Canis lupus familiaris: one gene and its partners. The protein of the gene in region 2 purifies or fractionates together with the protein of the main gene of each other region. This does not show direct contact. Links are inferred from orthologs where the notes say so. Each region holds a gene or a part of one and is shown on either strand. Other genes may lie near its edges.

Region 1 (3,500 bases), on a different chromosome or scaffold from region 2:
GAGATTGGTATTTTGAGCTACAGTTTCACTTTGTAGAGGGAAACACTGAGGCTTAAAAAATTTCATGTAACTTCTCCAGTTAAGGATGAATTTCCAGTTTAGTCTGAATCTAGAGCCCAAGATCTTACCACCTACCCACCATTTTGCCTCTTTGAACCTTTCTTTCCCTATGCTAGGCCTCATAAGGTGGTAGATAGGTGATTTCCCTTCTTTTGTCCATATGAAGGGTTATTGAAGGGTGGGGGAGTGGGGGTGGTGGCCACAGTTCTTTCCTTTTGGAGAATTATGAACCTGCATTTTTATTTTTTATTTTATTTTATTTTATTTTATTTTATTTTATTTATTTTATTTCACTTTATTTTAATTTTTTATTTTTGCATTTTTAAAGGGTAGATTGTCTTATTAACAATTTGTTGTTCTTTCAGTTTGAGCTGCTAAAGCATCAGAAACTTAAGGACCAGAATATCTTCGTCTCCCAGACCAGGCTGTGCCTGCACAACCTCCCAAAAGGTGTGGATGACAAAGAACTTCGGAAGCTTCTACTGAATGCCACCAGAGGGGAGAAGGGAGTGCGCCTCAAGGAGGTGAGAGCTGGCCCCACCCACTTAGAAGTTTGGTACTTGTCCTGGGTCAGATTAAGCATTTATTCCAGGCTTTGGTGCTAGCCGATTGACAGAATTTCTTCTGGGAGCATTGTCAACAGATGAGGCTGAGATTGGCAGTTTTCATGTTTATTTGTTTGTTTTCTCTTCTTATAACTGCCTTTCACCCACATTGTCCAGATTGTAGCACAATGTGAGGAAATGTCTGCCCTCATGAATTAATTTGAATTCTTGCTGTGTGCTCAGCATCATAGCAGGTGCTATAGTGTTAATTTTCTTGCAGAGAAAATAATCTGTCTATTTTGCTCTTTAGAAGAACATTTTACTTCCATTTGCAATACTCTTACTGTACGAAAAGAGTCCTTGGTGCTGTGTGGTAAGCACAGAGAGTCATGCGGGTCTTCAGCGGTTGTATTAGACAAACGCTGGATTTGCACCAAAACTTGATGAGACTCCATAAGAGTACAGAGCCTTCTCCTCTGCCCCACCCTCTGCAAATCTTCATCCTGGCACTTATGATTACATGGTCCTGTCGTTGTCTGCTAGTCATTTCTCCTGACCAGCTCTCCTGAGCTCTTTGAGAGCAGGTTTCTCATTGCTCCCAGTCCTTGGCAGGGTACCTGGAACATAGTAAATCTCTCAATCTATATTTATTGAATAAGTAACACAGCCAATATTAGAAATCTACTTTGCTCTGATTTATGACTATAAACTGTTTTCCTAATCCTGGAAAATCTCTTCAAAATGTATGGCATTGGTATTTGGGGAATTACATGAGAGAATGTGAACATATCAGCACATATCTGACACCACTCTTAGTAAAACTGTTCAAAGTGTTACTGGCATAGAGGTCAGTTGTGTAATTTCTCATATCAGCATCTACAATATTTAATAAGTGCTTGTACATTTAAAACCTATCATCAGAGAAATTCATGTGTTTTACTGTATTTGCATTGCATTGAATTTTCTCTTTATTTTATTTTTTGATCCCTCTATTGTCATTTTAAGGGGTCTTTCTTTTTTTCTTTCTTTCTTTCAAGAGTGATTCATTTATTTATTATTTATTTATTTATTTATTTGAGAGAGAGAAAGAGAGAGCACGAGCAGGAGGCGCAGAGGGAAAGGGAGAGAGAGAATCTCAAGCAGACTCCACACTGAGCATAGAGCCCTATGCAGCACTCGATCTCACAATCCTGAGATCATGACCTGAGCTGAATGCAAAAAGACACTTAACCAACTGACTGTACCTCCCTGGCACCCCTTGAATTTTCTCTTTAATGTTTTAATACGTGTTGGTATAGTATCTCACCAAAATCGTAAGCTTCTTCAGGACAGGAACCTCATTTTAAGCTTTTCTTAACTTCCCTATAGTACATGGCACAGTTCTTGGGACAATGTAGGTACTGGAAGTATACCAAATGCAGCATCCATGTATCCTTAATACCTAGATTTCTCGATTACATGAGAACTACAGCCTTTTCCAAGATATGCTACTATGGTATGGTATCTTTGATGTCCCAGGACACCTATTACATTCAGCTTACGGATTTAAGGCAAATCATGCCAGAGAAGATCCGAGCTCTGAGCAAAGCTAGCTGAAGCTTCAGCTGTAATCCTTAGGCTATATGTTAGGCAGGCCCTTCCTCATACCTGAATGTCTTTCTTAAAGATTTATTTATTTATTTGAGAAAGAGAGAGAGCAGAGGGAGAAGGAGAGAAGCAGACTCTCTGATGAGCAGGGAGCCTGAATGGGGCTCCATCTCACAACCCTGAGATCATAACCTGAGCTGAAATCAAGAATCAAATGCTTCACCAAGTGAGCCACTCAGGCACCCCTCAGTGCCTTTCTTAGCTAAAGCCATCAGGCCTCTTTTCCTTCTTCAGTAATTTCCTTTCTGAGTGGCTTCTTCAGTGATGAGATCTATGGACAGCGCTTCATCCTCAGTGATAACTTACACAATTTAAAGTACCATATACTTTTGAACTTGTATGTATTGTCCACAATTGACTATTTTAATTGGGGGGTATTTTCATCTACATGCTTATTTATAGGTTTTTTGTTGATCTCTGTAAACTCTTAGAAAGCCAGAAAGTATCTATTTAATTGGCTTTGTGCTTTCAGTAGATGTATGCTAATAAGACCTTGGTAAATGTTAGTCCAGTATAATATGGCTGTTGTGGCAGTGATGTGGATGAGGATTCTGTCCCAGCCACCTGATCTCACAGTGAGTCTGTTCATGCTCTCATTCTGTAATCATGCCTTCTTTCTCTTGTTCTACTCATAGTGTCGGGTGATGCGAGACCTCAAAGGAGTGCATGGGAAAGTTAAGGGTCAGTCCCTGGGCTATGCCTTTGCAGAGTTCCAGGAGCACGAGCATGCCCTGACAGCCCTTCGCCACATCAACAACAATCCAGAGATCTTTGGGCCTCTGAAGGTGAGCCTCATCCTGTGAGGAGACCTATTCCTCTGAGGGCCCTTTGCAGAAAACCATTTCTCTGCTTTGTCCAGTGTCCTCTGACTTATGTGTGGTAGGAAAGAGGAGCCAGTTAGTGAGGGAATAAGCAGTGGTTCAGCGGATAAGATGATCAGAAGGTTTTGAAATCTAAATTGGATAGACTGCTTGCAGAATGGCCCCTTACCTTTGAGTAGAGTAAGTGAGCAGGAGAGAGGGCAGTGGTGGGGGATATCTCAGCTCATTGCTCTCAGAAATTAAGAAATCTAATGAATGACATTCTCTTTCTGACACAGAGACCAATAGTGGAGTTCTCATTGGAGGATCGAAGGAAACTTAAAATAAAGGAACTGAGGATTCAGCGCAGCCTGGTACAGAACTGAAATGTTTTTCTGTTTTTGCTTGTTTTTTTAAGTTATGGTCAAATACACATAACATGAAATTT
Region 2 (3,500 bases):
GTTGAGTGAGAAGTATAGATCCAAGGTACTTGGTTTCTAATCCTGCCTCTGCCTGTCTATTGCTCAGACTAATTAGTGAAACCCTCTCAAGTGTCTATATTATATAAAGTGGGATTAACAGTCCTTGCCTTACCTTCTCTTATAGAATCATTATTTTAATGACTTTTAAAAAAAATTGTGGTAACATATACTTGAGAATTTATCATTCTAACCATTTTTAAGTGTACAGTTCAGTGGCATTAAGTACAGGCATGTTATTATACAGTCCGTCTCCAGAACTTTTTTTATCTTTCTTGGCTGAAAGTCCATACCCATTTAACAGTAACTCCCTATTCCTCTTCCTGCAGCCCTTGGCAACCACCATTCTATTTCTGTTTGACTACTTTGGGTGCCTCATATAAGTGGAATCATATGGTATTTGTCTTTTTGTGACTGGCTTATTTCATTTTGCATACTGTCTTCAAGGTTTATCCATGTGGTGGCATGTGTCAGAATTCCCTTCCTTTTTCAGTCTGAATAAATATTCCATTGTATATATATACACACCACATTTTGTTTATTCATTCATCCATCGATGGACACTTGGGTTGCTTCCACCTTTCAGCTATTATGAATGATGCAGCTCTGAACATGAGTGTACAGATATCTGTTCAAGTTTCTGCTTTTAATTCTTTTGGATGTGTATCCAGAATTGGAATTGCTGGATCATATGGTAATTCTATATTTAATTTTTTTTGATGAACCACCATACTGCTTTCCATAGCAGCTATACCGTTTTATATTCCTACAAGCATTGCATAAGGGCTCAAATTTCTGCACATCCTCACCAACATTTCACAGAATTATTTAGAGAAAGAAATTAAAAAGTCAATATGAAAACATGCCATAGAAAATGCAGACTTTACATTATTGTTTTATAATAACTATTAGAAATTGGACAATGTCCTGTATTTCAGTGGTTTTGAGCATAGGGGAAAATGAGATATATTATAAAATGTGTAATTTTTACTATTGGTGACTCTTTAAAATTTCAGGTATTGATGAACCATTGCACATCAAGAGAAGAAAAGTAATAAAACCAGGTTTCATACACAGTCCATGGAAAAGTGCATACATCAGACAGCATAGAATTGATACTAACTGGAGGCGAGGAGAACTCAAATCTCCTAAGGTAACTGAACTCTTGCACAGTGTAACTGAAAGCATTAATCAGTGTTGCTACCTAGTATGTTCTTCTTGGCCAGAAGTATAACTTGACCCTATCTCCTGTAGAACGAAAACAGTATATTTTGAAATAACTGAAAATGTGTAACGGACAGTATTCCCCTATTGCTAATTTCTCCAGACAACTGATTGTACTTGAATAAAAGAGGAGTTGAATTGCATGTCATTCTATCTTAGGAAATGAAAATTTCTGAATATCTTGTTGAATTTTGTGTCATAGACATTTTACCTAAGAATTTGCTTGCTCTCTGACTAGGTAGTTAGAACATGATTTTTTGAGGAGTGCCCATGTTTTGTGTTTTGATGTCCCTTTTGAGGGACATTTATTTTTATAAATTTAATGATAATACCGATTTTTTTGTCTTACTGTAAGTATGTAAATAGTGGCAAAAATGCTTGAAATTCTTAGATATATTTATACAACTGGAAGAAAGCAATTAGGGGAGATACTGTTATATTAATAAGTAAACATTATAACAGGCTTTTTTTTTTTTTTTTTTTGAGAGAGTGAGCGAGCACATATGAGTGGGAGTTGGGAAGAAGGGGTAGAGGGAGAGAGAATCTCAAGCACATTCCACACCCAGTGAGAAGCTCTGCTCAAAGCTCAGTCTCATGACCCTGAGATAATGACCTGAGTCAAGAGACACCTAACCGACTGAGCCATCCGGGTACTCCCAGGCTTTTTTTGTTTTACATTGAAGAAGTTGATAATTTTTATTACTCGTCTTTCTAGTTTGTAGGTGTTTTTGTCTTTGTGTGTAAAAATTGCAGAACATAGATGTATATTTTTTTGGTTTGAACAAATAGATAATTATAAAATACATTTGTGTTTGAACCATCTTTATGAGGTCTTGACTCATAAAAGTCTTGATTCACTCAATGTTAATAGTTGATATCTCACATAAAAGTCATAGAATATGGAAAAATAAAATCCTTAATAGTTGATTCAGCATTCAGGAAGGATGGTACTTTGTATTTTATATAATTGTAATTTTAAAAATAGACTTTAGATTGCTGCTCCTATTTGTGGCTTTACTTTTTTTTTTTTACCAGTATTTTAAGAAATATAATTTAATAACATATTTCTAATCTGTACATTTATCTTGTAGGTTCTGAAAGGACATGATGATCATGTGATCACATGCTTACAGTTTTGTGGTAACCGAATAGTTAGTGGTTCTGATGACAACACTTTAAAAGTTTGGTCAGCAGTCACAGGCAAAGTAAGCATACTTCTTTCTATACTTCCCATTTTGTTTATGTTTTTGCATGGATCAATCAGGGAAACCATGGGTTCATTTTTGACTGCAGCATATTTTGTTAACAAGTATCAGAGCTTCTAATTTAGTTTTTTCCTTGGCACAAAGATAATGTTTCTCAGGTTGGGGATGTCATTAATTTCTTCTTGTAAATAATTTGTCTATCTTTGTGATTTAGCTATTATATGATTTTAACAAAATGCTTCATCTTTTTCTTGGCTTACTTTTTTCCCACCTTTATTAACCATCACAGTTATATTGTCCTTTTTAATATTCTTCAAAACTGTGATTGAGGGATACTTACTTTTCTTTGTAAACTGCTCTGTTGATAACTTACCTATAGTTTAGAAGTTAAACAAATCATGTTAATTTAGACTTATTTCAAGCCCTGTGAGATGAAAGTAAAGCAGATACAGTATTTAAATAGGAGTTTGAAGTAAAAAGCAGTCCAAGCAATCAATTTCACTGCATACAGTATTTTGCTTTCATGTTCTATGGTGAATACTTATTTTTATCTGTCCACTGGAGAATGATTTCATAAACTAAGTAACTGATCAGCTAAAAAAACTAGAGGAAAATGTGAGGGGAAAAAACCCTGTCTTTTAAAATGTCTTACAGCATGTTGATTCTTGGCAAGAATCTTCTAAGTATTCCAAGTCAGATGTAAAAATTTTTTAAAGCAGCTTCATATTTCCATAGTGTAATTATTAGTTTTGGATTTATTTCAGAGTTTTAGTATCTGTCTTTACTTGTCTAGAAGTACCTTGCCTGGCTCCTAACTACTGCCTTGGGGCAGATTCAGATGAAATGTGGTATGTAGCCACACCTAACATGGTTGGCATTCTTTCATTGAATCCATTCCTATGGAAGAATCCAAGTTGCAATTTTAGCATTATTTTATCAAAGAGACCAGGCTGGAGCTGTCATATTTTAATAAGTGTTTTACTTTCTATCTACTTGATCCTCAGTAGTGTATGTATGTTTAATATGTAATGCTACTGAATAAAAAGAATAAAT
Region 3 (4,143 bases), on a different chromosome or scaffold from region 2:
AGTGACAGTCTTTGAAAGAACACTAAAAGAATCACTGTCCAAGAATAACAAAATTAACATATGCTTTCATATGGTAATAACCACAACTAACAACAAAATATACACCTTGAAAAAAATACATAAGAAAGTTACAACATTTCTAGAAACTCCTACCAAATGTCTGCATATTGATACAGAAGAGAGCAGTGGCAGAATGGACTCAAATGGTGAATTACACATGCCTGCAAATTACTTCTCCCTCATTCCATTTTTCTTAGGTAACATGCCTTCCTTGTGCCCCGTTCGCAAGAAAATACACAAGGATGCTGGGTGGTTAAAGAAAAAGTTATTCAAGGCTAAAGCCTGCCATAATATGGATAATTTAAGTAAAATAAAATAACCACACTGAAACATAACAGTAAGCTAACTTTTTTATCTGGCTTCACATCTAACAGTGTTTCACACACAAGAAAAAAATCTTAATTTGTAATATAAATGATTTTTAGGAAAAGTATACAACGTTGCTATATATCATTGGTTAAAAATAAGTTGCCTTCACCTGACAAGTCATGGTGAATAAGATCAGCAAAATTGGGGTCTTCACCCCACCAAAATATCCACAATTCTCTTCTTCCAGGTCTTTGATCTCGCCGCCAAACACCAAGTACATCTGCCTTAAGGCAGCGACTAAAACTGCTCAAAATGGGGTCTTCCTCTGTCACCGGAAACAGAATAGGGGCAGAAGTTGGGCCTTGCCATACATATCTTTTCCATTTAATTCCCGTCAAGTCAGCCTGAAGAAAAGAAAGCATGAGTATTACAGCACATTCACTCAAAGTCAATAGTACTCACTCTTAAAGCCCTTTATTTCATTAAGACATTACAATTTTTCAATATATACTGAAGATATTAAAGCAGACTGACCAAAAAAATGATTCTTAGATAATTCAACAACCCAAAATTTAAGGAAAGGAACTAAAACCGTGAAAATATTAACACTGACATGTCACTGAGTAGCAATAAATAGATGTCCCTAAGAAAAATAAAAGACTTAAAAATGTTTAATATAAACATGTACTTTAATACTGCACACTCAGTAAACATTTCCTCTAAGTTCTGTTCCAACTGGTCACGTTTGTTCCCTGGTGTCACACTGTAACAGAAAATTTTTAAAGACTTATGATTCCATGTTTATAAATTGATGGCTCCAATGAAATGAGAACTATAGTTGAAAAAAGTGTTCACATATCCCTTTTAGGCAAAGTGAAATAGAAAATGCGCACAAAGAACTGTCAGATTTGTACTAGTCTATTTTCAAAGAACCTGATCCTAAAAGTACCAAAAATAGACGGAGTCAGAGAAAACAGAAATGTAAAACCTGATGTTATGTTTTATTGCACCCGAAGAGATGTTGATTAACGGGCATTGTACAAGAAAACATTTTATAAGAGGAAAGGGCATTAAAAAAAAAACAATTTGGCACCGTGAAAAAATTCGACAGGGAGAATTTAGTAATTCTTTAACTTAGAGGTGCAAAGCATAAGGTGCCAAAAATGAAACTGCTGATACATGACTGGCAGTTTACACTTGCCAACTAGTTGTGCTCCGCCCACTCGGTTCACTTACCTATCACATACTCTTAGTATTTCTCCTAGCACACAAAAAATGAAAAAAGTCAGTCACTGAAACTTTAAATCGTGGACGAAGCTAAGCTACTGTCCAACTGAGGGCTAAATATTTGCAACAGTTGGTAGTTTTCAAAAAGTCTTAACTGTGGATGTTACCAGAACTGGGCCAACCTATACAATTGTCAGTCCTGCATCCAGCTTCCCTAGACTTTTCAATATAATGAGAAGCAGCCTGCTCAAACCAATCTAAAAATGCAAGTAAAACAAATAACAGCAACAAAAATTAGTGCAAAACCATAGAACCTCCTCCACTAGTCCCATTTCACTCTCACACAAACATAATGTTCTATTAAAAGCAAGACGGCTAAAAATTGTCAAAATGGCAAACTGTTTTCAAAGTTCAAAGACAAAACATGAAATGGTATCTACTGGTTTTTACAGAGAGATCTGAACTCATCGAAGGGAGAAACTAATCTTCTGTTAGTTTGACTCATCAGAAAACGTAAAACGAAAAGAGATTTTTTTTTTTTAGTACATAAGTTCCGGTGTCCTGTTTGGGGGGGGGGGGGGCGGGGGGGGGAACGAATGACCAGAGTGTGGCATAAAGGCACTGGGAGAATGAGCAATAATGTAAAGTGTTAAGAAGAGATACATAGTCAATAAGGAGAAAAGCAATAGTTAATAAGCAAGACACACCGGGAAATGGGAGTATCCTGCCAGATAAGGAGCACAAGTTGAAGACAAGACTACGGTTGAGGAAGAGTCGGAAACGGGGGACAAGGAAAGAAAAAAAAAAAAAAAAGCCAGCAGTCCTAAAGCAGAGCTCAGGATGGGGCTGAGCGAACGCGTTTCCCGGGGCTGGCGCGGGGCTCGGCCGCGGGGCTCGGCCGCGGCGCCGGCTCCGGCTGGGCCTAGCCCGGGGACTCGGGCATCTGGATCAGACCCGGACCCCCTCCCCCACGGCCCAAGGGCGCACCTCGCGGCCCCCTCCCCCACCGCCCCGCACGCCGCGGCCCCCGCCCGCGGCCCCTCACTCACCAGGCAGAAGAGGTTACAGTGACAATCTTCCAGGCTGGCCCCGTTCGGCACGAAGGAGGAACTCATCGTCCCTCACAGCAGCCGCCGCCGGCGCCACAACCCACCATCCGCCATTACCGCCGCCTCCGACCAGAGAGAGAAACACAGACACCGGGGAGGGCGGGGGGGTGGCGGCTGGGGGAGCGGTGGAAGAGGAGGCCGCCGGGCCGCCCGCCCTCCCCGCCCACCCCCCCGCCGCCGCGAGCAGCCCCCGCCGCCCGGCCGGCACCTAGCCGCCCGGGGCCCAGGGCCGGCGGGAGGGCCGCGCCGCGCTCGCCCCGCGGGCCGGACTGCGGCCGCCGCGGAGCCCGCGGACGCTTGCCCCTCTCGGGGGCACAGAGGAGATATGTGCTCCTTCCACAAGAAGAAAAAAAAAAAAAAACCAATAAATTACACAATAAATAATTAAAATCGAGTCCGAGAGGGCAGAGCCCGAGCCGTGGAGGGTGCTCCCGGGCGGGGAGGCGCCCGTGGAGGGGCAGGAAGGGCAAGAGCCGGGAGAGAAGCCCAGGCCCCCGGCCCGGCGGCGGCGATGTCCTTAAGCCCAGAATCTCCTCGGCGGCGGAGGTGGTGGCGGCGTCTGCGGGCTCAGACCATTCTCTGGCTGTGTCTTCGTGTCGTCCCTGGGCCAGGCCGGCCTAACGTCTGCTCTACTGCGGCCTCACCGCCCGGACGCCGTAGTCTCCCCCATTTTGTGGGCCCAGCGGGCGGCGTTTTTCCCCCTTTAATCCGAATTCACGGGTTTTCCCTTCGCTTTAATGGCGGCCACAGGGACCAGCTCGCCCTCTCTGCTCGCCCATTGGCCGCCTTGAGGTCACGTGGGCCCGGGCTCCGTGGGGAGGAGGAGAGAGAAGGGAGTGAGAGAGGGCCGGGAAGCTTTCGGCGGAGGCGGTGAGCCCTGGGGACCGGACGGCCAGCTGGCGGCTACTAAGACAGCGCCATCTGCTGGGTGCCTCGGCCACTGTAAGATGACCCCGGGCCCAGGCCCTAGCTTTCTCCTTGCGGGGGGGGGGAATCTACAGCGCAAGAGGGTTCGCATCACCGATCTGAGAATTACGTGGAAAACAGTTTGATTTCGTCGGAAAAGAAAGTGTTGCAAAAATTCCCGGGCATTCTCACTTGCAAACCCCCCGGGCTTGGGAGTCAGACGATCTGCGATACAACTTGGACACTTAAAAAGTTGTGATATCAAGAAAGAAAGAAATGTATGAGAAACAGTATAGCCTCGTAGTGAATAACCTGGGAGTGAGAGCCACGCTTCCTTGGGTTCAAGCCTTGAGCCAGTCAGTTCTTGGGGTCTCAGTTTCCTCATTTGTTAAAAGGGGGAAACATAACCCTATCTCATAGGGATGCTGTGACAATGGAGTTAACACAAATAAACCAGGTAGCCCAGTGTCTGGCACAGACACCCATTGCTAACAGTTACCTATTATTGTTGTCATCGTGACCTCATAAGATT
Region 4 (3,500 bases), on a different chromosome or scaffold from region 2:
TTGTCTGCTTTGTCCTCCAGGTCAGTGACCTGTCTTTTCATGACTCTCTGGCTACTTTTGTTGCCATCCTCATCGCTCGGCAATGTCTGCTCCTTGAGGATCTGATTCGCTGTGCTGCCATCCCTTCACTCCTTAATGCCGGTGAACCACCAGTCCGTAACCCTTAGAATTTCTGGATCCCAAGTTTGACTACACACTCCATGGCCACACCCTCACTGTTGAGTGTGGGGCTCCCCGCTATCACCAGAGGCCAGTTGTGTGATGGGCCTCGGGCCCAGAGCGGCCTCTTTCTAACGCTGTGTTGACTGCCCTGATCCTTCCCTGTTGTGACCCTCCTAAGGGACCCCCCCCCATCACACTGCAAGACAGCTGACTGCTCTGTCTCTCCTCCCCCATTATCTTGTTATTTCTCCTTTTGCCTGACTTCGCCTTCCCTTCTAGCCCCTTGCCACCCACAAACCCACGGACAGTCCACTTTTGCCCTGTCCAATTTGCTTTGTTTTCCTTTTTTTTTTTTTTTTGCAGCCTGCAGTGAGCAGGACTCTGAGCCAGGGGCCCGGCTGACCTGCCGCATCCTCCTCCACCTTTTCAAGACGCCTCAACTCAATCCTTGCCAGTCAGATGGAAGTAAGTGACCCTGATCTGGGCCTAGCCAGCAGTAGAAAGTGTGGCTGCTCCCCCCCCCCCCCGCCCCACCCACTGCCTGCACCCCACTGGATCTACTTTTGCTTCTCATGACTTGGGCTCCCTCTCCAGACAAGCCTACAGTAGGAATCCGTTCCTCCTGTGACCGCCACCTGCTGGCTGCCTCCCAGAACCGCATCGTGGATGGAGCTGTGTTTGCTGTTCTCAAGGCAGTATTTGTACTTGGTATGGGGGTAGGAAGGGAGTGGTGCCAGAAGTGTGTGTGGGGTGGAGTGCCAGCTAAACTACAAAGGAAAGTCTTTCTCCCTCCTGAAGGTGGTCTCTCTGACCTTTGGGGAGGAGAGGAGGGAGGGAAGTATATTTCTGTCCCATAGGGCAGGATTTGGGGGAGTTGCTGCTTCTGTGGGTCTGGGGTGGGTCTCTACACCGTGTTCAGATCTCACTCTGCCCTCCCTATCTCCCGCCCGTGAACCACAGGGGATGCGGAACTGAAGGGTTCAGGCTTCACTGTGACAGGAGGAACAGAAGAACTTCCAGAGGAGGAGGGAGGAGGTGGCAGTGGCGGTCGGAGGCAGGGTGGCCGCAACATCTCTGTGGAGACAGCCAGTCTGGATGTCTATGCCAAGTACGTGCTGCGCAGCATCTGCCAACAGGTCAGTCTCACCTTCCCCCCATGCATCCCAAATGCCTTTATATAATAATGTCCTGTTTCCAGCCCTGATCATGCCACCTTCCTACTATACATCACGTCTCTCATCAACCCCCAGCCCATCTCCCCCTTATTCCTTACCCCCACTCACTGTTTGCCCCAGTGCCCTGGTTATCTACTTCCTCAGGAATGGGTAGGAGAGCGTTGCCTTAAATCATTGTGTGAGGATAGCAATGACCTGCAAGACCCAGTGTTGAGTAGTGCCCAGGCCCAGCGCCTCATGCAGCTCATCTGCTACCCACATCGGTTGCTGGACAACGAGGACGGGGAAAACCCCCAGCGGCAGCGCATTAAGCGTATTCTGCAGGTAGGCCAAGGTGGTGAGGGTCTTAGAGGAAGCAGTGGGGCCCAGGCCCTGGGTGAAACAATGGGGACCCTGAGGGAAAAAGAGGGGGTTAGTCAAGTAGGAAGACTGAACAAGGATGTGGGCAAAAGGTGGTCAGAGCAACAGCCCCCATGTGGGTTTTGAAGTCAGGCCAGTGCAGTCCAGACCCTAGAGCCAACTGCTGGATGAGGGCATGGCTATCTGGGACTGTAGCTTATCAGTGAGAGGCGGCACAACATCTGCTAAGCCTTGTTTAAGGCCTTGCTTGTTTGGTGTTTGCTCACAGCTCAGTAACGAACAGCAGTAGTACTTCATAGCTCTTGATTACCAAGTGTCAGCTTCATGCCGAGTATTGTGCTCAGCACTCTATGTCCATCTTCTCATTTAATCTGTCCCAACCCCCAGAAAGTAGGTAGGAGTGGCCAAGTTTGACCAAGGAGGAAACCAAGGCTTGAAGAGTTTATTAAGTAATTAGCCCAAGGTCACACAGCTAGTTTAGAGTCAGGGTGCGAGCCCAGGTGGGCCTGTGCCCCTTCCACTTTGCCATGCTGCTTCAGGCATTCAGGTAACTGAAGGGTGGAGAAATAAAGCTGTTAAAAGAGCTACAGGAATGAGTCTCTTCAGCCCAGAGGAGATAATGTTAAAGAGAGATTAACTCACATTAGCCCTTGGGTCTGTAAAGGACTTTGAACAGCTGGTTTAAAACAGCCTGCAACTTTAACATCAAAGATTTAGGGTAAGTGCTAAGCAGAACTTACCCATGTGGAGGAATGTGAAGCTCTGGAATAGGAGACAGGGGAAAGATGGGAAATCTTTCCAGAACCGTTTTTAAAATAGGCTAGATTTTTCAACGATTTTGGATCATTTTGGTGTAGTCTTTCCTAAAGATGGGGACGTGGAAGTTCCTTTCAGACCTGTAGGCATATGTGTTTCAAGGTTGTGAGAGATCAGGAGGTGGCTTAGTCAGGGTGGGGGGTAAGTGGCTGGAAATGGAGAGGGGGGACAGGATGATGATGAGCTTAGGGGTGGCGTCTCCATCACAGAACTTGGACCAGTGGACCATGCGCCAGTCTTCCTTGGAGCTGCAGCTCATGATCAAGCAGACCCCTAACAATGTGAGTTGGCACCTGGCCCTCTCTGTCCCATGCTCACTTCCAGCTCCATGTGTCAGGGGTGTGGGCTACCATAGAAGAACCTGTGTCCTATGGAACTTCAGGTTCTTGAGCTGAGAAAGAGAGGGTGGGAAGATGGCAAACGCATGGGGCTGATGAGTAGGGGGAAATGGGTCAGGAATGTTGGGGCTCGGTGGTGTGGGGGAAGATTGGCGATGGTGGTGGTGGGAGGCAGTTTCTCTGGTCACAACTGTAAGGAGGCATGTGAGGAGAAGACAGTGGGGGAATTGGAGAAATAGGGAGGCTCTGGAGGGCAGGCTCTCAGCAGAGTTGTGTCTTTCCCTCTCATTACCTTCCAGATGCCTTTCTCCGCCCTCATCTCCCATCTTTCCTGCCGTCTGTTTTCCTTCCTATCACAGTTACCTATTGAGCACCTCTGTGCCTTTCATCCTCCCCAGGAGATGAACTCCCTCTTAGAGAACATCGCCAAGGCCACAATCGAGGTTTTCCAACAGTCAGCAGAGACAGGGTCATCTTCTGGAAGCACCACAAGCAACATGCCCAGCAGCAGCAAAACAAAGCCAGTGCTCAGGTTGGGTAGAAATGCATTCAGACCCCTCCCCTTATGACTTGTTCTCTCATAGTGTAAATGATTTCAGTCTCACAGAGATACTAGGCCTGTCCATTGGGCAGGGAGAGCATGGCTTGT
Region 5 (3,500 bases), on a different chromosome or scaffold from region 2:
GTTAGCAAAATGGATTTAGTTTTTATTTCTGTGCCCTAGTATTTAACTTTGAATTTCTCTTTAAAGAATTTGATCTAGATTCAGCCTGTAGTGTATGAATTAAAGTACTTTAAAGTATTTGTTTTGTTTATGCATCTCATGTCAGAGCTTGTATAATTTTGAATTACATAATTTGTGATTTTGCCAACATTTAATAGTAGCATTTAAAACATAACAATATGGTACACTCATGGGGTTGCTGTATTGATCTGTCGTTATTCACAGTAGATGTGTAAAATCTGCCAACTACTTTTGTTTCCATGTATTGAGTTATATTTTCAACAAACCTTTGTATACCTTCTGTTTGTCAGGCCCTGTGTTAGGGATTTAGTCACTATTTGCATTTTTGTCAAATAATCCATTATTGATGTTATAGGATCGTTGTTGCCATTTATTTTTCAGGGTATGGTACCATTTGTTTTTGTGGGAACAAAGGACAGCATTGCTAATGCCACTGTTCTTCTGGATTATCACCTGAACTATTTAAAGGTGAGAACAAGAAGAACTTTAACTTCTAATCCTTTTGTACTAAAATATAAAAACTCCACAGTCAGGCAGTCTTTCAGCAGTGAAGGTTCATTCTAGCCTGTACGTTACAATGAATGACCTGTAAAAGGTAATAGAGAAAATACTTTGTTTTGCTTATTATATTCCTTCTGAAAACACAAGTCCATTTTCTATCATTACAAATTAAAGGACCAATATCCCAGTTCTTAGTAAATTCCCCTATTTCCCATTATTCTATTGTTAAACCCTTACACTCAATTTAGGCACTCCTGTACATAGCCTTTTCATTCAGTTGATCCTTTCTAGCCTTTGTGAGTTTTTTCCAGGCCAAATTTTGTGTCTGTTAACACTTGCCTTTGTTTGTCCCTTTTATGTCATATATCAAGGAAATCTCAGTGTTTCATGAAGTCGTCTGTTTAAATGTTTACCCTTTGTATTTTTCTCTATACTCTGTTATACAAAATATAAACAACTTATGTCTTTTAGATGCTCGTTTTAGTTAGTGTTTGTACAGTTAGGCCTTCTCTAGATTGCAAACTGGAAATCAGGAACTAGGAAGCTACAAGATATAGTGGAAGGAGCACTGGATTGGCAGTCCAGTGACTTGCTTCTAGTCTGTCTTCTATCATGGACTAGTTTATGTGACTTTAGGCAAGTCACTTCTGCCTATATTGGATGCTTTTCTAAGATTTCCTGTGGCCAAAATGTTCTATAATTCAATGAAATGAGATCTTACCCATGTCACTTTTATAATTTCTTCTTTTTATATCTGTATGCATCAAAATTACAAGTGATTGGTACTAAATAGTATTTAAAAATAATCCAGCTTTCTATTTTATGTATGATCTTATCTTAATAAGAATATTTTTGCTGATTTCTTGAAAGAAATAAACAATTTTGATTTGGATGCAAATAAGGGGAACAAAAGTGCAATAGTTAGGCTTCACTCATCTTATGGTGGTCACGTAATAATTGAAAATGGGAAGGTTTCATCCAGCAAGGTTTGCATGGGTAGGATACCCCATTGGTTTGCTTTTTATTTTTGTTTTAAGGTGTGTTTTATTTGTAATCTGTTGTATGTGGTTTTTTTTATATTCTTAGCTTAAATAATTATGATGACCTGGAGAGTTAGGGTTGCATTATAATCAATCCCTTGTTCTTTTGACTAATGTTCTTTTTAAGATCCCTTTATTTATTCTTCACAATTGAATCTTTTTTGGTTATCAGCAGTTGTCCTGTTGCTATTCTTTCCATCACTAGATCTTCCCTTGATTGGGCCTGGCATCTCTCACCAAAAGGTGACTGCTTTGCCCCATTGGGATAACCTGGACTACCATTCTGTTTTGCAAGATACACCCATTCCATGAGCTATAACTATACTCTAGGAGTAAGCTACTCACTCAGTCTCTCCTTTGCTCAAGTCCTTTGTAAAACAGAAAATTTGGTTCAGAGCACAGATTAAACCTATCTGCCCTTTCTTTGCCAGAAGCATCCACAACCAGGATTTTAAGAACTTAGCTTAACAGGGGCTTATCCAGTGACTGTCCATGTAGGCAGTCCCTATGATGGCCACTGCTTTCCTCAGACACCCAGTACTATTAAGAGTTATGGATCCAGTTCCCTATAGCCAGTAAAGGAGATGTTTTTTGGGTAGATTGCAAGGACAAGGGTTAGAATTGAAGCTTCATCTGAATTTGACAGAACCCAGCATATCAGAAGCACTGTGTGTAAGGGTCTGTCAGTGGAGCCCAGGTGTATATTTTGATCAACATTAATACTGTTTTGTTGTACTTGTTCTAGCACAGTTGTAGTCTTTAAGAGCTTTCAAGGCTTGATGTTAAGTCTAACTTTTTTGGTCAGCTCTTAAATAGTCATATCCCCCTCCCCTACCATATAAGGAATAGGAGCATTTTCAGTTTGCTGAAAATAATTTTTCCTTAACTGTGTGATCATATCCAAAGACCTACCATAATATATGTTCCTTGAAAGCGGAAGATGGCCCAAACGCAGTGCTTCATAAATTAAGATAAGAACTGGCAAATATATTTCAGTTAAGATTATTTACAGTGTGTGATTTTTAAGGTTAGCTGGTTAAACCTTAAATGTCATTTACCTGTATTTTAGAGTTGCTTTATTCAACATCCTATCATCAAGAAGTCCCCAAACTAGCATATCTGTGCCTTAACAGATTCTATTGGATAATAGTACCAAATCAACTTTAAATTCTATACAGTAGAATTCTAATGCTGAGTATTTTTGTTATATCTCTAATTATGGACATCGATAATCTGTTATCTATAGTAATTTTTCTTTTTAAGGAGACCATTCAATTTCCTGATAATTCTGTGTAACAGTGTTTACTATAAATTTAGAACTGAAATTGAAATATTTCCAGTATATTTTTATCTGATGAAAAGGAGAAAGGTATTATTAAGTAAAATGTCAAATTATTTTTACTGTTATCTTGTATATTTTAAATAGGAAGTAGACCAGTTGCGTTTGGAGAGATTACAAATTGATGAGCAGTTGCGACAGATTGGAGCTAGTTCTAGACCACCACCAAATCGTACAGATAAGGAAAAAGGCTATGTGACTGATGATGGTCAAGGAATGGGTCGAGGTAGTAGACCTTACAGAAATAGGGGGCACGGCAGACGCGGTCCTGGATATACTTCAGGTACAAACTAAGCATTTTACTCAGTAACTTTATCTGTTCCTAGACTTAATAGCTGCTAATCTCTAATATTCATTAGAACCCCATTATAACGGTTTCTCACTACATGGTTTCCGATTCACAGTGGGTCAAATTGTGTTGCAAGAGACATATAGAGTTAAAACATGATAATAACACACAGAGTTTACAGGGCAGGTGTGAGTTCTGTCCACGTTCTGACTGGGGATAAATCTGCTTAAGCCCTTGTGTGTTGATGACTTTCTTAAGGCCTTTCCTGATT
Region 6 (4,090 bases), on a different chromosome or scaffold from region 2:
AAGCTCCATCCAACCACACCAGATATGCTTGCTCAGGCAGAGCAAGCTGTGAAGCAAACCAGTGACGGGCCCTTTTAGGGACGAGGTATGATCTTACTTTACCCAACTCTCACTGACCTGGGAGCAAGTTGTTTTAGATACCAAGAAGCAGCAAGACAAGGACCCCATGCCTTGTAACCCTCCCCCACCTCCTCCCATTCAGGAACCACAGCCTAGCACACGTGCACATCAGAAGGAAAGGCTTTTACAACAGACCTTTTCTTGCCCAAGACTCTGTTGTTTAAATTTTAAAAAGATGGGAGTGTGGGAGAGGAAGTCCTGAAACAAAGGTGCACCTACCTTTGGAGGTGTAGAGGTCAACCTCAACAGTGGGGTTCCCGCGAGAGTCAAAGATCTCCCTGGCGTGGATCTTGAGAATAGACATGGTGACTTTCTGTGGGGGAAACACAGTTCATACTTCCCATAAACCATAATGCAGCCTTGGGTCATTCATTCAAAGAATCGCTTCTGAGGATTCCTGGACTAGAAAGAATTTGCGCTGGACAGATACGGGATGCAAGGTGGCTGCCAAGAGTGGGGAAAGCCTGCTGTGCCCAGCTCTGTAGGGCCTCAAACCCCAGTAGTCTGGTGCTGGTCCTTTAAGCAAAGCAAAGCCTGGAAATGTGTTGTCTGCACACAGGATGGTTGAAGCTGAGACAGTCTGAAGCAGGTTACTGTCAATAGCTCCCACCGAGGGTAGCATGGGAATGGACCAAGGAGACTCGAAGGTCAGAAGCTAACCCATCCAGGACAAAAAAAATGCAAGGTGATACAAGGAGAGAAATCTGGCTTGTAGCGAAATAATGAATTCATAGTTGGGGACATAATTCACCAAGTTAAACTTGAGGTAGCCGTAAGATGTTCAGTCGGTGGATACTGGGATACTTAAAGAAATTTTGAGGCCAGGAGTGTCCTTGGTCTGTACAATGTGGTCTTTGCTATTACTGCCAACTTCTGGGCCTTTCACATTTCACAGTACTTGGATCTTTAGCAAGACAGGACACACCAAAAATAACATCTAATTAGTATTACTTTCAACAGGCATTTTACCCATTCAAAAAAATTAATTATGAAATGTCATAATTGAAATCAAACTAGATTCTATCCTCAAATGTTAGGATACTCCAAGGGAGGAGGCTTTCCTTAAAAGCATCTTATAAAAAAAAAAAAAAAAAAAAAAAAAACAGATTTGCAGTTACAAAGAGCAATCACCTTAGTTCTCAAAGAAAGCCTTTTCACCTCCCAGCCCCAGGGGCTTCCAAGAAAGAAAGGACCTTGTAGGACTGACTGAAGGCAGCCCAGTGGAATTGGGTTAGTGTTCAGAGCCATTATCTAGCTGGGCTCCTCTCCAGTATCTTGTCTGGAATGTTCTGAGGCAGCAAATGGCATCTTTTTTTTTTTTAATAAGTTTCAAAATTAGACAGTGAAATCACTTCGGGTGCATGGGGACTATTTAACAATGAAGTTTCATTCGTTAGCCAATAAAAAGGTAAAAAAAAGGTATCTAGTTTTTATTCACTATCCTACAAAAAGGCAAATTTGCTTAAATGTATTTTTTAATTATAAGATTTTAGTAACTTTGAGTTTTGGCAAATCATATACCTGTGTCTGATGGCCACCACCTAAAAAAGTCCCTTTAGGCCCTTTGCAGTCAATCCCCACCCCCCCCATCCCTAGGCCACCATAGACTTACATTGTGCATTTAGATGCGCTTTAAGCACATCTTTATTACAATACATCCTCTTGCTGTTGTAAGATGTCCTTTCGTTTAATTTAGTAATATTAATACACAGCGACTTATTTCAAGCTGTGAAAATAAAAGTTCAACTTATCCTTAAAAAGGTTAGAAAACTACTCCCGATGTCATTACGGTTCAGTAAGCAAGGCCAGCAAGAATGGATGGAGTGTTCACGGCTCATCTGCCTGGGCTGAACCCCGGACCAGGGGCAGCACGTGTGGACTGGGCAGTCAGGGCCGAGGGGTGTCCCCGGCCCCAATTCACACAGCAGACAGGGAATTTTCTTAAAATATGTCCTTCTAACGTCAGATCGGTGGCCGACTGCCGAGAGCCCGGCCGGGGAGCCGGAGCAGCTCCTGCATGACCTGGGCGAGGTCGCCTGGACCGCTTTCCCAATTACGCAACGGTTCGGCCGCAGTCCGCTGAAGAACAAGCACCCTCTGAAGTTCCATTCATTAGAGGCTGCCCCCTCCGTCACCAGCCTCCCGCCTCCCGCCTGCAGGCCGGGGCCCCCAGCGGGGCGCAGGGGCTGCTGGTGGGGGAGGGGCTCGCGGCTTCTGGGCATCCCGTCCCTGCCCCTCCCTCCACTTTGGGAAAGGCCTGGCTCTAACGAGCCCCCGGGCTTAGGCCCGCACCTCCCCAAGCCCCTGCAGCGTCCGGCCCGCCGTCCCCCACGGCCCGCGTTCCACTCGCGAGCTCCCATTAGCCCTGTGAACCCCTCATCTCAGCCGACTCCGCTCCTGCCCCTCCGGCGAAGCCCGGCCCGCACGTGCCGACCCGCCCCTCCCACGTCCCCACCCCGGACCCACGCGCAGGGCCCCCAGGCTTGGGTGCCGGCTCGGCAGCCCTTCCTGGATTCCCTACCTGGCCGCCGATAGCGCTGCCCGGGGAAAAAGCAGAGGATGCCGCAGGCACCAAGGACGAGCGTTAGGCTGCGCGGTCCGGACGCTCCGAGGACCCGAAGCTCGTCTCAGCGCCGCCGGCCCCGACTTCCTGCCCAGCTCCCCGATGCCCCGCCCACTTCCCGCCCCCCAGCCCGCCCCCGCGGCGCCGCCTCGTCATTGGCCCAGCGCGCCGTCACTCAGGCCTGCGCTTCCCGGGAAGGGGCGGGACTGTAGCGGCCCCCGCGGCCGGGAGGGGCAGCGAAGACCCGGGGACGTGGAGCGGGGCGGGACTGGGGGGGTCGCGACCCCCCCCGCGGCTGTGTGGGGGTGCGGGCGAGTCCCTGCCCCGGCGCCCTCCATTCTCGCCCCCGGCTGGGACCCCTGGCCGAGCCGGCCTGTGGCGCCAGGGCCCCGGGAAGGGGCGGGGTGGCGCGGCCGGCATGAGGGTTTGGGGCTCCGGCACGTACTCCGAGTCCCGCACGCACGCAGCGTCGCTCCGGCGCCTCACGTCCGGCCCACGACCTTGGCGACGACCTTCGCGGCCCGCCCTCCCGGCCGGCCCCGCCCCGCCCCGCCCCGCCCGCAGCGTGGGGCCGGAGACCCCGTCGGCCTGGCGACGTTGGCGGCCGCGCGCCTCGGTGCGGCTCCCGGGCCGGGTCTGCAGCGGGGCCCACGTGCGGCGGCCTGCGCCTGCGCGCTGCGCCCCGGCTCGCCCCCGCCCCGCCCTCCGCGCGCCGGCGGGCGAGCGAGTCTTTGTGTCTGAGCGTGGGCCAGACCACGGGCATGGGGTTGGGCGCGAGGTGGCGCGAAGGAAGTTTACTTCCGTGCAGTTAGGAGCTGATGCTTTTTGAGCCCTTCCAGCGTGCCCGGCACTTCTCCACGTGCGTCTCAGGGTTAATGTTGCATCTGGAAGGCAGACTTCGTGTGCCTCCGTGCCTCCCCCCGTCCCTGTGAACCGCGTACAGTGATTTGGGACTGGAATTTCCCACAGACCCGAGGCATTTCTCAGAGTTCAAAGCGGGTAGTATTCCACGGTCGTCTGGCAAGGGAGAAACAGGAGAAACGGTGCAGTGATTTCATTCACCTTGCTGGTGGAGAAAACTCCATTTAATGCTAAAATGCATTTTAAACTGCATTTAGAATCAGTTCTGCAGCACATTCTGCTCTCCAAGAAAGGGCTGAGGCGATTACTTCGTTTTCTATAATCGTTAGATTTGTATTTGTCAGCGTTCTCCTTGGTCTGGAAATCCGGAAGCTAAAATAATGTCCTATATCTCCGTATTTTCAGCATTGTTGTGCAGAGAGAGAGGGAGAGAGAGAGAGATTCAAATGTGTATTTGAATTTAGTTATTATTTCTCCTGGTCAGCTGCAAAAACTGCTTTTCTTCCTTCACTGCTAACATTTTTATCTCCTGAGCTACTGGCTTAG
Region 7 (4,058 bases), on a different chromosome or scaffold from region 2:
GTTAAAGAGTGTGTGTGTGTTTGGGGGGTGGAGACATAGAAAGTGCTGAGCACATTAGTGGATGCAAGAGCAGCTGAAAGGAAGGCCAGGATGCGGAAGGAAGCAGCATCAGATGGGGGCTGTGTATCACAGGATCCTGCAGTGTCCCCCTGCGACTTGTGGAAGTCCATGTGTGGAAGGGACCAGCACTTGCAAGATTATAGTGGGGGAGAGCGTCTCTGCCTGTGCCAGCTCACAGGGACTTCCTGGGTGCTGTAACCTGGGCAGGATCCAGTGGCTGTAGCAAGAAGGGACAATGTGGGGAAGGACCTGGACATGGGGCCTGGACTACTGATGGAGTTGCCAGCTCCCAGGGGGTGTCAGTAGGCCACAACATCAGGAGATCCTCCCTGATGGAGCCCTTCCTGTGCTCCAGATTCCTCTTCTGCCATGTTGCACCCACACTTTAGCTCCAGGAGGACGGCAGTAGCGTTTCCAGCTGCTTGATGCCTCAGAAAGTTTGAGCCAGCTGGAGGCCATTGCCTCCTCCTCCTGCATAACTCCTCACCCGCAGCATCAGTTCAGGCTCCGCCCCCCAGGGGGTCCCTTCCTCGTTCCCGGAGCTCCCACAGCCTCATTTGGGAACAGCCAGGACACTTGCTCTAGTGTGCCCCCCTCCAAATCTGGAGGCACCTAATGCACCCCGGACCGAGGGCGGGGGCAGTGGGAGTGCGGGAGTGAACGGGTAAGGGGCGGGTAAGGCGGGTGAGCAGAGGAGGTGGACGGATGAATGAGTGAGGCAGCCAGGGAGCGGGTGAATGAGTGTGTGTGGGTGAGTGAGCAAGGCGTGGACGGGTGAGTGAGTGAGCGAGCCAGGGAGAGGGTGAGTGAGCGGGGGTGGGAGCGTGGATGAATGATGAATGAGAGAGGGGGGATGGGTGCGTCGGTGAGGGGCGGGGCGGGGCGGGGCGGGGGCGCTGAGGACCGAGGGGTGAGTGGAGGACGCGCCGGGACGCGGGGGCCGCCCACGCGGAAGTGCAGAGTAACCGTAGGAGGGGTGAGTGTGACGACCAGAGGCCGAGCTAGCGGATGAACGAGGGGGCGAGCGGCGCGGGCCAGGCCTCCCGGTGGCCGCGTGGCCGGGGCGGGGCGGGCCAGGATGGGCGTGGCCAGGCCAGACAAAAGGGGCGTGGCCGCCCGGAGTGGGCGTGGTGTGGGCGTGGCCGGGCGGGGTGGGCGTGGCGTGGCGGGCCGGCGGGCGCGGAGGAAGTCACGTGGCTAGCGCTCACATGACTGGCGGCGTGATGGACCGGCTGTCCGCGGAGGCAGGCGCGGCTCCAGTCGTGGCGGCAGCTGAGGCGGAGGCGGACGAGGAGGCGGACCCACCGGCGGCAGGTACGGCTGGCGGTCCCCCTGCTCCCGCGCGCAGCCCCCGGCCCGCCCTCGCCCCCGTGGCCCCGCGGCCCCCGGCTCCCCGGCTCCCCGGCTGCCCGCTGGCGCCCCGCGCGCCCCCGCCACGCTGAGAAGGGCGCCGCGGGCCCGGGGACCCGAGCACCTGCGCACCTGCGCACCTGCTCTGGGTCGCCCGGCCGCGCCTCCCTGTTCGGGGGCCCCGCTCCCGCTCCCCGCCGTGCCGCCCCGGACTCGCGAGCTCTCCGCCGCGGACCGGACAGACTTGGCTCCGAGTGCGTGTGCCCTCGTGAATGGGCGTCAGCACGGAAAAGCGTGCGCGGGGCTTGGCTTTTGTAGGATGGTCCCTCCTGGAAAGTTCCCTCCTTTAGCCCCCTCCGGGTGGAGAACAGATGTAGGGGCGGCGTTGCTGGCCGTTACTGCGGCCTTTGGGCGCGGGTCGGAGGCGGGGAGGGGGCACAGGGGCGAGGGACCCCGCTGGGGGTGTGGCCAGGTGTCCCCAGGGGGCTGTGCTACGGTGGCTTCTGGAGGGCACGAGAGTGTTTATTCATTGGGGAGAACAGGGAAGGGAGTGGCGGGGAAGCTGCTGGGAGGTGGGCATTGCACTGGACTCCTTGACATAAAGGCTCCTGGGTGTGTCTGCATCTAGAAAGAAATCCCCCACTCCCAGAAATGGTTTTGAGTAATTTTTCATTGCGTTCGTAGCTGTGTAAGGGGAAGCATGTGATGGCACTTGCTGTTCTGGAGGTCACACATTTGAGCCCGGCGTGGGCAATGGGCCTCACCGATTCCGGGGCCCCAGCCTGGACCCCTTGGTTGGTCCCGTTTGGAAACGGGAGGCTGTCATTGGCTTTTTGGCTCGGGTTGTAAAGCAGTTCATAGTTGACTGCATATGGTGGTGGCTCAGGGGTCTCTGCACCGTCTGTACCTTTGGGTACCGCAGTCGATTTTTTTTTTTTTTAAGATTTTATTTATTTATTCATGAGAGACACACAGGGGCAGAGACACAGCAGAGGGAGAAGCAGGCTCCATGCAGGGAGCCAGATGTGGGTCTTGATCCCAGGACCACGACCTGAGCAGATGCTCAACCAGTGACCCACCCAGGCGTCCCCCACATGGCAGGACTTACCCACTGGATTCCACTTATGGACAGCCGCCCTCCCAGCATACCCTCCCTCTGACTTTGCCTGGAATAACCGTGGTAGTTGGCCTTAGTTGGCCTTCTTGGGGGCCGTGGGGATTTTATTAGGCCTGCTCACTGTGAGGACACGGTAGCACCTCTGGTTACAGAGTGCTGTTCTATAGCCAGGGGAGTACTCAAAGTGGGGTTTATGGACTGTGGGAGGCAACCTGTCATTGCATCCCACTTAAAACCTTTTGACCATCCGATGACACAGGTAAAGTGGTAGAACAAATCTTTTTTACACTGGGATAAATAAAACCCAGAGGTAAGTGACTTGCCCAAACTGGGCAAGTATTAAGGAGGCATGTCCAGGTGGGAGTCGTGGTTGGGTGGGCTAGAGGCAGAAAACCTAAGGCTTTGAGACCGAATCTTGTCCGTTGACCGTAAATGCATATCTCACTTTTAGTCAAGGCTGATTTTGGTTCGTTGATGGGTTTGTGCTTATGAATATAGAATGGTTTCTCTTTTCGGTGTTTTGTCTACACAGGCAGAGCCTACTCGAGGTATTACTTGTGGAGACTGTGAAGTCTGGGTCTTTGTACTGCCATTGGGATTGTCAGAGAAAATCGCGTTCCCTGGTTTCCAACATTAAGGGTCATGTTCTAATGCTTTGAAGCTTAATCTGTGAATGGTAACTCCCTAAAATTTTTTTTAAACATTTTATTTATTTATTCATAGAGACACACAGAGAGAGAGAGGCAGAGACACAGGCAGAGGGAGAAGCAGGCTCCATGCAGGGAGCCCGATGTGGGACTCGATCCCGGGTCTCCGGGATCACGCCGTGGGCTGGAGGTGGCGCCAAACCCGCTGAGCCACCAGGGCTGTCCACTCCCTAAAAATTTAATTTTCAATTAAGCTATACATGGACAAACACGTTTTCTTTAAAGAAATGTAGAACATTATTAACTAAGTGAATCTCACACCGATTCCCACCACCGTCTCTTTGCCAGAGGTGATCTTTGTTATGGGTTGGGGATGGATTCTCTCCACCCTGTTTTTATATTTTAAAAGGATACATACTTAGAAACCCCATATCTTCTCGAGCACATGTGTTTATGTTTCCCTAGGGTAGTGTATTAGTTTTCTGCAGTTGCTGTAACAAATTACTACAGATATGGTGGCTTAAACAACACTTAGCATCTCACAGATCTGGATGGTGGTCAGTAGTCCAAAATAGGTTTCCTTGGGCTACTATCAGGTGTGGGCAGGGCTGCCTTCCTTCTGGAGGCCCTCGGGGAAAATCCGTTTTCCGGCCTTTCTGGCTTGCAGATGCCTCCCACATTCCTCGGTGATGGTCCCCTTTCTCCAGCAACCATGAGCCATGTCTTTTTCGTGCTGTCATTTCTCTGGTTCCCCATTTCTTGTTTACTACTTCTACTTTTGAGGACCCCGGGACCACCAACCACCTGGATAATCCACAACCTGTGGCCTATTTCAAGGTCAGCTGGTTGGCCACCTGAATTCCATTTGCTACCTTTGTTCCCCT

Evidence for each region.
Region 1: the proteins of FBXW7 (region 2) and RBM28 purify together in Homo sapiens (affinity purification with mass spectrometry, with the first as the bait; 3 studies listed by BioGRID). This does not show direct contact. The link is inferred for Canis lupus familiaris from reciprocal best matches to the Homo sapiens genes FBXW7 and RBM28.
Region 3: the proteins of FBXW7 (region 2) and MED13 purify together in Homo sapiens (affinity purification with mass spectrometry; 5 studies listed by BioGRID and IntAct, with this or other methods). This does not show direct contact. The link is inferred for Canis lupus familiaris from reciprocal best matches to the Homo sapiens genes FBXW7 and MED13.
Region 4: the proteins of FBXW7 (region 2) and MED12 purify together in Homo sapiens (affinity purification with mass spectrometry; 3 studies listed by BioGRID and IntAct, with this or other methods). This does not show direct contact. The link is inferred for Canis lupus familiaris from reciprocal best matches to the Homo sapiens genes FBXW7 and MED12.
Region 5: the proteins of FBXW7 (region 2) and FMR1 purify together in Homo sapiens (affinity purification with mass spectrometry, with the first as the bait; 3 studies listed by BioGRID). This does not show direct contact. The link is inferred for Canis lupus familiaris from reciprocal best matches to the Homo sapiens genes FBXW7 and FMR1.
Region 6: the proteins of FBXW7 (region 2) and ENO1 purify together in Homo sapiens (affinity purification with western blotting; 3 studies listed by BioGRID, with this or other methods). This does not show direct contact. The link is inferred for Canis lupus familiaris from reciprocal best matches to the Homo sapiens genes FBXW7 and ENO1.
Region 7: the proteins of FBXW7 (region 2) and SNX8 purify together in Homo sapiens (affinity purification with mass spectrometry; 3 studies listed by BioGRID and IntAct, counting the BioPlex papers as one, with this or other methods). This does not show direct contact. The link is inferred for Canis lupus familiaris from reciprocal best matches to the Homo sapiens genes FBXW7 and SNX8.

What each region holds. Positions count from the first base shown.
Region 1 is NC_049235.1:7,922,464-7,925,963, forward strand, and holds part of RBM28 (RNA-binding protein 28), read left to right. Parts: intron 1-425; coding exon 426-584; intron 585-2,887; coding exon 2,888-3,037; intron 3,038-3,351; coding exon 3,352-3,426; intron 3,427-3,500. UniProt on the Homo sapiens protein: Nucleolar component of the spliceosomal ribonucleoprotein complexes.
Region 2 is NC_049236.1:50,550,200-50,553,699, reverse strand, and holds part of FBXW7 (F-box/WD repeat-containing protein 7), read left to right. Parts: intron 1-1,034; coding exon 1,035-1,171; intron 1,172-2,333; coding exon 2,334-2,447; intron 2,448-3,500. UniProt on the Homo sapiens protein: Substrate recognition component of a SCF (SKP1-CUL1-F-box protein) E3 ubiquitin-protein ligase complex which mediates the ubiquitination and subsequent proteasomal degradation of target proteins.
Region 3 is NC_049230.1:34,603,131-34,607,273, reverse strand, and holds the start of MED13 (mediator of RNA polymerase II transcription subunit 13), read right to left. Parts: upstream 2,801-4,143; 5' UTR 2,712-2,800; coding exon 2,646-2,711; intron 774-2,645; coding exon 539-773; intron 1-538. UniProt on the Homo sapiens protein: Component of the Mediator complex, a coactivator involved in the regulated transcription of nearly all RNA polymerase II-dependent genes.
Region 4 is NC_049260.1:55,693,338-55,696,837, forward strand, and holds part of MED12 (mediator of RNA polymerase II transcription subunit 12), read left to right. Parts: intron 1-20; coding exon 21-141; intron 142-525; coding exon 526-627; intron 628-756; coding exon 757-870; intron 871-1,122; coding exon 1,123-1,298; intron 1,299-1,481; coding exon 1,482-1,661; intron 1,662-2,722; coding exon 2,723-2,794; intron 2,795-3,249; coding exon 3,250-3,383; intron 3,384-3,500. UniProt on the Homo sapiens protein: Component of the Mediator complex, a coactivator involved in the regulated transcription of nearly all RNA polymerase II-dependent genes.
Region 5 is NC_049260.1:117,386,550-117,390,049, forward strand, and holds part of FMR1 (synaptic functional regulator FMR1), read left to right. Parts: intron 1-441; coding exon 442-528; intron 529-3,027; coding exon 3,028-3,223; intron 3,224-3,500.
Region 6 is NC_049226.1:62,805,283-62,809,372, forward strand, and holds the start of ENO1 (alpha-enolase), read right to left. Parts: upstream 2,801-4,090; 5' UTR 2,642-2,800; intron 434-2,641; 5' UTR 425-433; coding exon 340-424; intron 1-339. UniProt on the Homo sapiens protein: Glycolytic enzyme the catalyzes the conversion of 2-phosphoglycerate to phosphoenolpyruvate. In addition to glycolysis, involved in various processes such as growth control, hypoxia tolerance and allergic responses.
Region 7 is NC_049227.1:14,974,906-14,978,963, forward strand, and holds the start of SNX8 (sorting nexin-8), read left to right. Parts: upstream 1-1,258; 5' UTR 1,259-1,268; coding exon 1,269-1,374; intron 1,375-4,058. UniProt on the Homo sapiens protein: May be involved in several stages of intracellular trafficking. May play a role in intracellular protein transport from early endosomes to the trans-Golgi network.